3 linked regions of the Solanum lycopersicum genome follow. The main gene of each other region encodes a partner of the protein of the gene in region 2 in a complex. Links are inferred from orthologs where the notes say so. Each region holds a gene or a part of one and is shown on either strand. Other genes may lie near its edges.

The links. The genes of interacting proteins can lie anywhere in the genome.
Region 1: large ribosomal subunit protein bL34c (region 2) and large ribosomal subunit protein uL10c share a complex: the UniProt entries of both Arabidopsis thaliana proteins name them as parts of the 50S ribosomal subunit. The link is inferred for Solanum lycopersicum from reciprocal best matches to the Arabidopsis thaliana genes AT1G29070 and EMB3136.
Region 3: large ribosomal subunit protein bL34c (region 2) and large ribosomal subunit protein bL28c share a complex: the UniProt entries of both Arabidopsis thaliana proteins name them as parts of the 50S ribosomal subunit. The link is inferred for Solanum lycopersicum from reciprocal best matches to the Arabidopsis thaliana genes AT1G29070 and PRPL28.

The regions. Positions count from the first base shown.
Region 1 is NC_090803.1:3,526,213-3,528,829, reverse strand, and holds large ribosomal subunit protein uL10c, read right to left. Parts: upstream 1,434-2,617; 5' UTR 1,330-1,433; coding exon 640-1,329; 3' UTR 501-639; downstream 1-500. UniProt on the Arabidopsis thaliana protein: This protein binds directly to 23S ribosomal RNA.
Region 2 is NC_090800.1:53,255,051-53,260,871, reverse strand, and holds large ribosomal subunit protein bL34c, read right to left. Parts: upstream 3,091-5,821; 5' UTR 2,964-3,090; coding exon 2,750-2,963; intron 2,225-2,749; coding exon 1,968-2,224; 3' UTR 1,848-1,967; downstream 1-1,847. UniProt on the Arabidopsis thaliana protein: This protein binds directly to 23S ribosomal RNA.
Region 3 is NC_090808.1:67,409,465-67,413,588, forward strand, and holds the start of large ribosomal subunit protein bL28c, read right to left. Parts: upstream 2,801-4,124; 5' UTR 2,652-2,800; coding exon 2,435-2,651; intron 10-2,434; coding exon 1-9. Other genes in the region: uncharacterized protein, read right to left, coding at 3,652-4,124.

The DNA of each region.
Region 1 (2,617 bases), on a different chromosome or scaffold from region 2:
AGAAATCCCAAAAAGTGGAGTCTGGGGAAGGTAGAGTGTACGCAAACCCTACCTCTACCTAGTGGAGGTACAAAGGTTGTTTCCAAAAGACCCTCAGTTCAAGTGAAGTAAATGAAAGTACTAACAAAAAGGGAAAACGACAATAAGGAAAACATGAGAACTAGTAATAGGAAAGCACTGCAGAGGATACATGCAAGAAACAATAACGTCAACAATATAGTGCGATCAACATATAACAATAGCAAGAAACTGCAAGAATAAAGCTACACACTTCCTCCAGACTACTACCAAAGCCCAAACTCAGCAAATAGCAAGATCTTAGTGCACCGAGCTGCCCTTTTAATATTTGACAAATATAGTGAGCTGAAGCAGGAATACAGACTATTTTCTTGGTTCAGTGATAATGGAAAGAGCAGAATAGTACATTTCACATAACATAAATCCTCTCAAACAGTTATGAAGTAATCCAGATAATTATCCGCCAAATACGAGGACACAAATTTAGAACAATTGGCCAAGGATAAATTCATTCTACCAAAAACATAAAATTTACAAAATTCCATCTCTCAGAAAAATTTCAAATATTGATCCAAATAGACAATAGTATTAGCTTACCATATCCAAGAATTACAACAAAAATTATTGACTTCCACCTTCTTCCTCCTCCAATTTCTTTACATAAGCCTTAAGAACCATAACCAAATTCCTTGCTGGAGCTTGAATAGTCCCAACAACAGCTGAAGCAGGTCCTTTCAAAGACCCAAGAAGCTGTGAATAAATCTCAGCTCTTGTAGGCAAATTCTCAAGCACCTTAAACTCATCAGGCCCATAAAACTTCCCTTCAAAAACCCCACCAGTAAAATCATTATCTTCCAATTTCTTCTCCCTTAGAAAAGTCCTATAAGGTTTCAAAGCAGCTGGGATTTCTTCACTATGAACAAATAACCAAGCATTCATTCCCTTCATACATGGTTTCAATGCTTCCCATTTTGTCCCTTCAATTGCTTTAAGTACCAATGTGTTCTTAGCAACAAGAAGCTTTGTTGTTTCTGGGAGTTGAGCCCTAAGATCTTGAAATTGCTTAACTGTTAACCCCTTGTAACTGATTCCAGCTAAGAGATAACAATCTTCAAGCTGTTGCTTCACTGTTTCGACTGTTTCTTCTTTCTTGGTTCTGCTAATGGCTGAACGAATAGTTAGAGTTCTGGGTTTGAGTTTGAGGTGAGAACTGGAATGGGGGATTATGAAGGGATTGTTGAAGTGGGATTTCACGGAAAATGGGTAAGAGTGAGAGGAAGAGGAAGGTAAGCTGAAGAGAGCAGCCTCCATTGATGATAGCTTGAGAATTGGATTGCCTTATCTTTTGTGCTAAGATAGAATTTAGGGGTATTTCATAAACTTTATGTTTTTGAAAATATTTATGTCATACCAAACAAACCATTAAAGAAGTTAAAAAAGGCAAAATAGGTGTAATATTTACATATATTTTATCGTCTTTAATTTATAAAATTATGTTAGATATATTTTTATTATTATTATTAACAAAATTCTTGAGATGATTTGATATGATATATAAAAGATAATAATTTCATAAAATGTAAAATTATTTTATCTTATATTTAAAGATATTAATTATGATTCGATCAGTTATTTTAAATATATATTATCATTATTTTCAGATGCTTTATTAATTTTTTTTTAAAAAAATAATATAATAATCATATCAATTTTTCTTCTATATTAAAATATTTTATTAATTTTGTTTGAATTTCATAGTAGAGTCGCATTAAGTATAATCAATGCAAATATTATATGATGTATTTGGCATTAAGGTGTATATAAGATATGGAATTATGTGGATATTAGTAAAAAAAAATATTCATGCATTAGCATAATAAAATCACTATTGCTCTTCAAAACTCTTTTAACATCATTTTACTATATTTGTGAAAGATACTTATATAAATAAAGAATTTTGTTCAAAATTGATGTAATACAGATTATTTTCTTTACGTCAAATCAAATATTAAATATAAAATAATACTCCTATCAAATATAACTCATACAAATATTAATAATAATTAAATTATTTACTACTAAAATTCACCATATTCAATATTATTCCTTCTACACCTCGTCAATCCTTTTTCAAGTATGTATATCTGTATCTACAAGTTTATCAATTAAAAATGCTGGCTTAAAATAAATTTAAAGAGTCAAGAATATTCAAAAATTATTTCTGAATGTAATCAAAATCACAAGTGATATTTTTGTTATTTTCTCTGCTCAGGTCCTAGACTTTGCTTCAATTATATTATATTATATTATTTTAATAAATATAATATTTGAATAGATTGTATCTGTATAGTAAAGACAGAGCGTGAGGTGAAATCTTTTACATAGTATATGGTGAGGCGTATGTCCTGAGACACAAGACGTAAGTCTCATAGTTTTAAGGGGCATAATCACATGTATATTCAATTTTTAGTTTAATTATTAATAAAATAAGCAAAAGTAAATCTTTCAATGATTTATGATTTTTATTTGAGATAAGTATTAATAATCGGTAATGAACAAAAAAAATAATCTATAATTACTTTTTGAGAAATATCATGAA
Region 2 (5,821 bases):
ATGGATTCGGTGGGAGTGGATAAAGAAATTGGAAGTGAAGGAAACGTAGAATAGAATGAAGAGACAACTCACAACACCTAAGCCTGCCGGTATCAATATGAACATCACTCCCGACGCCATTGGAGCTGCTTCTTGCTTCTTCTGCCTCCCTCACTGCACATCACAAAATGTAGGTGGAACCATTAATGGGGGTACAACCATTTAGCCATTTTGTACAACAACATTTTGGAATTCTTCATTACATTCTTTCTCAGGCTAAAAATACAAAAGAATCACCTATGTTATTAACAATACATCCAAATGGACGTTAAATATTATTTTTTAACGTTTTCTCATCAAACCACAAGTCATAATAGGAAAAATAATACTCCATAATCAGTTCTTAATAAAATTGATAAAATACTCTAGCTAGATTTACTTCTTTAATTTTGTTTTTTTTTCAAAAAGTAAAATAAGAATTTAGATTAGACCTAAAACTTCTAGGAAATAATGCATTTTGGCCATATCTAAAAAGTAGTGATAAATAAAGTAAAAGGCCATTATTATTAAAGTATTTTGTCGTTTTGTATCGGCCAAATAATATAAGGCCAAGTGTAAAGCATGTCGTTCATTTTCTATTGGCTAAGTTTGTAAAATTGTTGTATAAATAGAAGGCTTCCCGTCATAATAAGATCATCATCTTTTCTCCACTGTAATTTTCTCTCTCTCTTCTCACGATTCCGCTTCCACCCCCAAAATTGTTATCACTTATTTTCCTAAAAGGTTAAAACACAATTTTTAGAAAAAATTCATTTGAAACATTTTCACTCCTATCAAAGACACCCTTTGACTTTCTAACTTGTGGTAAACAAAAACGAATATATAATATTAGATTGGGTTAGAAAAATGTTGCTCCCATTATCGTTTTTCTTTATTTTTCATACTAAGGCTATGTAGAAGTGAGCTTATGATATTTGCAGATTTAGTCATTTAGTTGATTTAGAGAAATGCATATTAGAGCAATTAAAAGCTCATGAGTCATGTCAGAGTTTGAATCCTATAAATAGAAGTACTTCCAAGTGTAAATAACGCTTTATTTGTTTCATATAGTGAAAACAAGATAAGAATTGTGATTTGCCTTTGATGGAACAAAAAGGATTGATATGGGAAAAAAAATTCACTAATGCTGGATATCTGATCTGAACACCAAAGTCTACTAAATAAAGTGAATATTTCGCTCATACAAACTTCTCATGCATTAGGATAGTATGCTTCTTATACCTACGTCCGGCATTACCAAATTGATGAGAAATAGAATATTACATATATTGTCTTTTCCGAGCTACTAATTTATAGAAAAAAACCATAGACAGGTCGGTTTCTGGTTCGGTTGGGGCACATTTCTAAATTGTATTTCAACTTACACATGCCAACAGCCGGATGATCCTGCAGCATACTAGTAAAATCCTCAGTTACGAAGCAAAATTTAGTAACACAAATGCAATTCTGAAATTTCCAAATAACTGCAGTTACAATCCAAGCTCACCCAACATGTGAAGAATGATTTGTGAGAACAATATAGCACCCTTACATAAGGGCCTTGTTCGATCGATGTCCATAAAACACCTCAACATGTCAGTCTCATATTCCCCTCTTTGGTGGAGCAACTTTCTTATAATACTTTCTCCAATGACAAATGGAAAACAAAAGAAAACATTAGACCTCTGAAAAAGCCCTATGATGAATCAGACAAATGAAAACCTGCTGAGTCTACAAATTTCTCAGGGTCGATTTGTTGACCAGACTCATGAACAAGATCAGAAGGAGAAAGCAAAAACCAATCAATGAAAGAGTGGACAATACAAAAATATGGAAACTAGTAAATTAGTTCTTTAAATAAAACAGATGAAAATTACAGCAGCCCAAAATTCTGAAAAAGATAGTTAACATATTACCAACAAAAATCAGTTGCAAGAAAACAATAAACATTAAGCTCGTTTTCCAGTTCTAGGTGAAGACTTTGGGCAGAGATCCCATCGGCCTTTTGCACGTCTTCGCTGGATAGTTGCTCTGCCACTGGTGGTGCTCATACGCTTGCGAAAACCATGTGTTCGAGCCAACGACTTCCTCGACCTATTCCTCTTAGTCTGACAAAGAGCATACTTCTTTGCCTGCACCACCAGGCCACGCCTTTTAGTGGTGCTCACTCCAATGTTGGAATTGAAGCCAATGCCAAATGATGAACCTACACCACATATTAAACCATTAGCTCGCTACTATTCATCATGCCAATTTAATATGAAATTGATCATATGTCTTTTGGACCTTAAAGGTCTCCTCTTTGTTGAAACTTTTTTGGTTCAATTGTTTTATAATCTAGCTTTAACCAATGGATTTTGACTATAAAATCAGAAATACGATTCACTTTTTTTCAATAGCACAGCAATGTCAGACCACAAATAGACACTACAAATTTGTGTTATATGGAATACTAAACATCAGAATGAAGAATTGCAACCTACTCTTGTCTCCCCCTTGTACCTTCAAAGAGTGTATATAATTTAACAGGACTCAAGATACACACAAGCGAATAATTGCCTATTAAGGAGTTCTCAAAAGAAGCAATTCAAATGAAAATACTACCTGCCTAAAACAGGAATCAATAAACAACCCCACATTACCAATTCAAATAACAACTGAAATCTCTAATTCACATTTTCAATTTCCACATCAAAATTGAAAAGGAAGATAGAGAATTTATGGAACTTACCAGAAAAGGATGTTGAAGAAGATAATGTAGAGAGTGCAGAGGAAGGAAGAAAAGAGCAGTGAAGCAACCCAGAATGAGTAGAGGCATTAGCAGCCATTTTCAAAGAAACAGAAGTAGTCGTTGTTGAAGAACCAGTACGTAGAGAAAGCGAAGCGGATGGTCTGTGGTTTCCTATTCCTGAACATACCCAACTTCCCATTGACAAAGAAGCCATTTTTTCTCTCTTTCAAAACTCTCCCTCTTACTCTTCTGTCTATCTATAAGAGGTTTTGATGCCTTATCTGCAATCCAAGGGACTCTTTAGGTAATCCGAAAAGATAAACGGGTTAAAGATGGATTTAGAGAGGGTTTGACACAGTAAAACACTTTTATTTAAAGTGGAAAGGGTAAAAATATTTTTCAATTTTATTTATTGATTTACTATGTCTTTTACCTTAAAAGGAAATTATTTTTACTCTTGTCGTTACTAATTTTCATCATTTATGCCCCTCAATTGGATGAAAATTCCAAATTTACTAAAATTATCCAATTTCATCATTTTGACCCAAATTCAAGAGCCTTTTGGGGAAAGAGATCCCAAGAGTGTAGATCTTTCATACCTTAGGATTACTTAGTGTTTGATGGATAAAATTTGAAGTATTTAAGTCCTACTCAAGCTTTGAATTGTTCTTCAATGGGGTCTTGCAATAGAGAGAGAAAGAAGAGAGAAGTTGGAGAGGATTTGAGTTTGGGAATTGTGGGGTGTTAGGTTAGTTTAATGAGGCTTAGGTATTATATAGTCCTTCAACTAACTTAATTAACCACCCCCTAACCCTTAATTAATTAACTAACTAACTAACTGATCAAATCCCCAACTTAAAAACTTGACAGCAAAACAAACCCAGTCGACGACTCCTCGACCTATGCCTTGTAGTCCCATCAACGGCCCCGTGCTGCTGGTCGTTGTTTGGGACAGAGACTTGATTTTTGGAGCATCCAGGCCAATTGAATAAGTGTCAACCTATGAGGCCATCTACGGAGCGTCGATCAAACGACGACTCCTCGCTTGGCTCGTGGTTGTACACTGTCAATTGACAACTTTTGGGTCCAAATGGAAGGGTCCTCCTCAAGGACCCCTAGGGTGGCCCTTGGGGAGTCGTACCTGTACATTTCAACCCTAAATACTCTCTTCTATATATGTAACGCCTTTTTACCAACTTTCATTAAATTACGACTCTTAAACCTCTATGCAACATGCCAAGGCACACGAGTGCATATTTCACAATCATCGAACGTCATGGTCATTTCTTGACATTTGACTCTAACACTTCCTAAATACTTTAAATATAGTATTTCAGGTAAATAAACAGTTTTTGAAGTGTTGGTTCATTATATGAATCTCTAGATTAGGTCATGGACTTTCGAAGTGTTACATTATCCCCCTTTAGGAACATTCGTCCCCGAATGACAGTAAAAATCTTTTGTAGGGGAAATTAGGAGACTCAATACTAGCAGCCCAACCAGAAACATATAAACAACATGAGTTAAAAATTAAAGGTGTAATTCACAAGTCCATTCAACACACAAACATGGAATTTGACAAATAGGAATAACCGAACCACGTCTACAAAATGCCAGTACCATGCAGCTGCTTCAAAGCCAACGTGATGCTCCTTGGTCATCTATAGCAACTCAAATCACAATTTACCACATATAAGAGCTCAACATCACAACATGAGGAACTACCTTCTCAATATTAATATGAGCTCAACATGATCATCAAGCCACTTATTCTTCAAAACATCATGCTCAATACCAATTTACGGGGGCAACAATACACAAAACACAATTAAGTACAAGCTATGCAAAAGAGCACTTTCACATGAAAAATCATTTTAGCATGAACCTTTACCATAAATATGCACATTTTAGCAAAACAAGATAAATTCAAATTTATTTATTATTTTAAGAGAATTATTTCTAAAATCAACTTTGGATAGAATTTTGAGGAAAAAGATGAGGATAACGGGACTTCAAATTGGCCTCGGACTCCCATGTTTCTTCCTCAACAAGGTGGTTTCTCCATAGGACTTTTATGGAGGCCACCTCTTTGTTCCTTAACTTTTTGACTTGATGATCTAGAATTTCCACTGAAACCTCTTCATAGGATACTCTCATCCACACCTAACCCTTCAATGGGGAGAATGGATACGGGGTCGCCAATGCACTTCTTAAGCATGGAGACGTGAAATACCGGATGAACCGAAGCTAGTTCACTAGGTAATTTCAACTCATATGCAACTTTTCTGACCCATTGCAAAATCTAATACGGACCCACATATCGGGGACTTAACTTTCCCTTTCTATCGAATCTCATCACCCCTTTCATAGATTAAATCTTCAAATACACCATATCACCTACTTTGAATTCATGATCTCTTCTTCTATTGTCGACATAGGATTTTTGCCGACTATAAGCTGTTTTAAACATATCCCTTATCACCCGAACCTTCTCCAAAGCTTCATATTTAATTTTGGGACCAAGGAGTGAAGACTCACAAACCTCAAACCACCAAACCGTAAACCTACATTGCCTACCATAGAGTGCTTCAAAAGGTGTCATGGAAATGCTTGAATGGTAGCTATTCTTATAGGAGAACTCAATCAATAGTAGGTGATTGTCCTAGTTACCTTTAATATCTATCACAAAAGCTCTTAGCATGTCTTCTAGGGTTTGAATAGTACGCTCCACTGACCATCTGCTTGGGGATGAAAAGCTGTGCTAAGCTTCACTTGAGTACCCAACCCTTTTTGAAAAGACCTTCAAAAACGAGAAGTGAATTGTGCATATCTATCTGATATGATGGAAAAAGGGATCCCATGTAAGCTCACTATCTCATCAATGTTATTCTTGCATAATCCTCCGCTAAATAAGTAGACTTGACGGGGATAAAGTGAGCAGATTTCGTCAATCTATCCACTATTATCCAAATTGAGTCATTTTGCCTCAGGGTTCGAGGCAACCAAAAACAAAGTCCTTATCAATTTCTTTCAACTTCCAAGTAGTAAATCCGATTGTTTGAGTCAAACCAC
Region 3 (4,124 bases), on a different chromosome or scaffold from region 2:
ATACTCTACCTGAAAAAACAGAATGTATTCTCTTAATATTCTATACGCTACTTATCATAAAGAGGCGCCAAGATATTCGAGCACAACCGACAAAAATGCAGGAAAGCAGGGGGGGAAAGGAAAGATCATGATGATGTAAGGCAAAGGATGCTTCACTGGGAATATTTGATTACTCTTGTCCCTAATTTGTTTTATTTTACCTATTAGCTCAAAGGCTTTAAGTAGTTTTGGACTAAAAAAACAAAGGAATTCAGGATGCAGTTTGACAAATGCAGCAACTTAGAAAGGGAGTCAAAGCAAGCAAGAGTGTCAGTGATATAGTGCTCCTAATGACTCTCATAATGTGCTTTCTGATTAGTAAACTAAAGCTTCATCAGTGATCTAAAAGCCAAATACTCTGCCATTACTGGATTTCACAAAAGGTAAGTCAACCCTTTACAATTTGTTGTCATACAATGAGAACGAATTAAACCAAGCTGTTATCATCATATTCAAAATATAATGTACACCAGAGGGGCGAACACACCGAAGATTCAAGTTCTGTAGATTTTTCCTTCCAAATCTGCAGCTAACACACTCTCTCAGCCTCTCATTATTGGTTTCGTCTTCTTTTTAACTAGTTTGGTCACTTGTAATAAGGACACAGGTGGGTAAATAAATATTAAAAAATGCAGAAGGTGAATTTGAGAGGTAAATGGATTTACATATTCTTGATAGCGAGAAATCTACTTTCATAAGCTTTGAATCTCATAAAGCTTTTATTTCACTATTAGGCTGCAAGTTTCATGGAGAGAAGAATAGGCAGATGGAAATCCTGCTCATTATCAAGAGAGGTGAAAGCAAGAAAATGAAGCTCCCTTTAGGCTGCAGTCAGTTTTTAATGAGACCTAAAAGGCCTCGACAAGAATTATAATATCTTCTCATGCATATAGTATTTCTTTTGCAGCTTTGTCTATGAATTGCAGCAAAGGAATGCAAACTTTGTTAACCAAAAAACTGTTGATACCATCTATATAAGAAATTTATCATGAAATAATTTATAATTCTTCACTTGGACAATCTGTTATGCCTTAAATATCGGCAATCCTTAAGTCAGAGAACAAAGAGCCAAGGAGGAAAAATTAGGGATCATTCAGTATATGAAGACAACTATGGACAAACTTCCAAACTATATACCGTATTTTATTGATCTTGTTGTTATTAATGCAGTTAACGCGGCAGCTCCCTTTAATCAATATGCTGTAGTCCATCAAGCTCTTCCCAGTTTGTTAATTTTGCACATGGTGAGGTTGTCCTATCCCTATTTCTTGCGACTGTAGACAGACTTTTAAACCCCTGGAATGATGACACCCCTTTAATCTCTCCTCTTGAAGTTATATAAGAAGTTGTTTAGATAGTAAACTATAATATGGTTTTTAATCATTGATTATCATATGTAACTTAATAATATGTGATTAATGTCAAGTGCTCAGCTTACCATACCACAGATTTCAAGAAAACAATATATTTAGTTTGCAAATTGCAACTGAATCAAACTTTTTCCAACTTTGGCTATGTCTTCAGATCCTCCACATTGTAAGGGATAATTTTCATCCCATATCAGCAATACTAACTTTCACTTGGTACTAAACAATCTAACGTAATGTGCTATCAACACAAAGCACATATCTGAATTCTAGACACCCGACTACTAAATGGGGTCTCAGGTATGGAATGAGCAATTATCTGAGTAACACTCATGATGATTTCGGTCCTGTGACCCTTTGAGTACGGCCACTCCACACACACACAAATAAAAAGGCTACCTGCACCAAAATGATGATTCATCGTATTAACATTTGAAAGTTATCATCTTTCCTTTTTCCCCATCAATGTTCAAGAAGAACTTACTATCCCTACTTCATGGGTAGAGGGACCGAAGGTGTATACCATACAGTATCCCTTTGCATGTGATCCAATTAATTGAAATTCAGAAAGCTGAAATGTCACCTCTACCATCAATAGGTCTACAAAGTTAATATTTCCGCCCCTCGAACTCGTAACCTTCAGGTCAGCAAAGGAGCAACCTTGCAATTGCACCAAGACTCTTTTTTTATTTTAAATAATGGTAATGTCGGGGTCAGTTTGCACATACTTCAACAACCATTACCCTAAGTAACAAGTACTTAACTAAACTTCAAATTATCAGATACAATTTCCTTTTGACAATTGTGGTGTATGGCCAGTATGCGCACACCTCGACTAATTCTAAGGTTACCTACTGCCTCCCCACAAGCACAATTTCTTACACACAATTCACAATATTGTTAAAACCCAACAATTCACTGAAACAAACAAAACAACAAACAGTTCATGTGCATATTACTAGACCAAAAAAGAAACAACCCCAACAACTAAAAACACAGAGAACACAACAAAAGGGTAGAGAAATTACGAGCAACAGGTTGAAGGGCTGTCTTGAAAGGAACAGAAAGTGAAGCAGGAGAGCTCAAATGGGTGCTTGAAATCTTGATGCCACTCAATTGAGAAGTCACAAAACTCAACTCTGAGCTGAATTTCACCTTGGGTAAAGCCCTTTTGGTCACTGCAAATGTCCTGTAACCACCCACTACTGGTCCTCTGAGGCTTATACCCGCTGTGATTGTCGCCATTTTTGCAACCAATTCCTCAAAGCAAGAATCTTTTTTGTCTCAAGAATGTTGCTTTTTTTTTTGAAGAAGGAAGTGAAGAGTGGATAACGAAATGGATGTGGGTAATGATTTTATTTGTTGGCCTTCATATTTTTTTTTATTGTTATTATATATTTAACTTATTTTTTCCTTTAGTCTAATAATATCAAACGATTTAAATAAAAGAATAAATAAATAACAAAATCTAACTTATTTGGAAGTAATATGTTATCATAGTTATGCTTTAATTTTATTTGCATTACTTGTGTTATCTTAGTTTATGCTTTAATCTTATTTCCATTACTTACTCACGTGGAAGTCTAATATCACAAACCAAACAAAGAGAGTATTAAGCCTATACCAAAATCAAATCATTATTAAGCCTATACCAAAATCAAATCATTATAATATTAAGCGTTTTCTCCCTCTTCAGGTTCCACTTATGATAAACCAAACAAATAGACCAAAATCAAATCATTATAATATTGAACGTCTCTACTATCTTCAAATCAATCACACTATGTTATGAATGTCCTTATCTCTCTAACCAAACAACCCCTAAAATCTGTTATCCCATCAACTGTCCAACTGAGTCAGTGACCAACATCATTTAGAACTACAAGCACAAGACATTAAGGCAAAATAATAAGAAGGTAAATAAAAGATTTCAAGAAGCCATAAGATTGTGCTCCTGTATATTGTAAGTAGTAGGTAAACTGTTGCAACTTAAAAACAAAGTTCATAATTTTTAGATGACATAATACAATGGCTCATTCCTTCATCCCATTCTACATCTGGGAGAAAACATGTATTCCGCTTCAAATCGGGTACGACTCTCGCACTAACAAAAGGGTTAACACCAAGGCATCTCAATAATGGTAAAAATTGCAAACAAACATTCAGTTAAGCATTGTGAAATCCTATGTTAACGTCGTTCAAGTTTGGGGAGATCTGCATAAGGTTTTGAATGGGCCAAAAGAAATTAGTTTTGTTTAGCAAACTTTGTCTGATAGAGATCAAGGGGAACATACTCCACAGTCACTATTCGGTCGTCAAACAGTCGTCCATGTAGACAATGAGCAGCCGTGCATGCAGCTTCTGCTCTTCTAAACTCCACAAGTACACAGCCCGGATCAAACACTTCAGTAATAGGGATTTCTTCCTTTTTCTCAAGTTCCTCTGGAGCATCCAACTCTTCTTTCGATGAGAATTCTGGTTCAGAAGGTCTATCGTCTACATTTCCATTGTCTTCCTCTGACTTAATTGCTTCCTTAACTGGTGAGTCATTGTTTATCTCAAGATGCTCCAGTGGACTGGGATTAGCATTTTCATCTTTCCTTTCTGAAACCATACCAGTACGGGTAACCTCGAGATTTTCTTGGAAGATTGTCTCTTGAGCAGAGACACTACTGTCATCTGGTAGAGGGTCAGAGCTGTCGTCTTTTATTAGCTCCT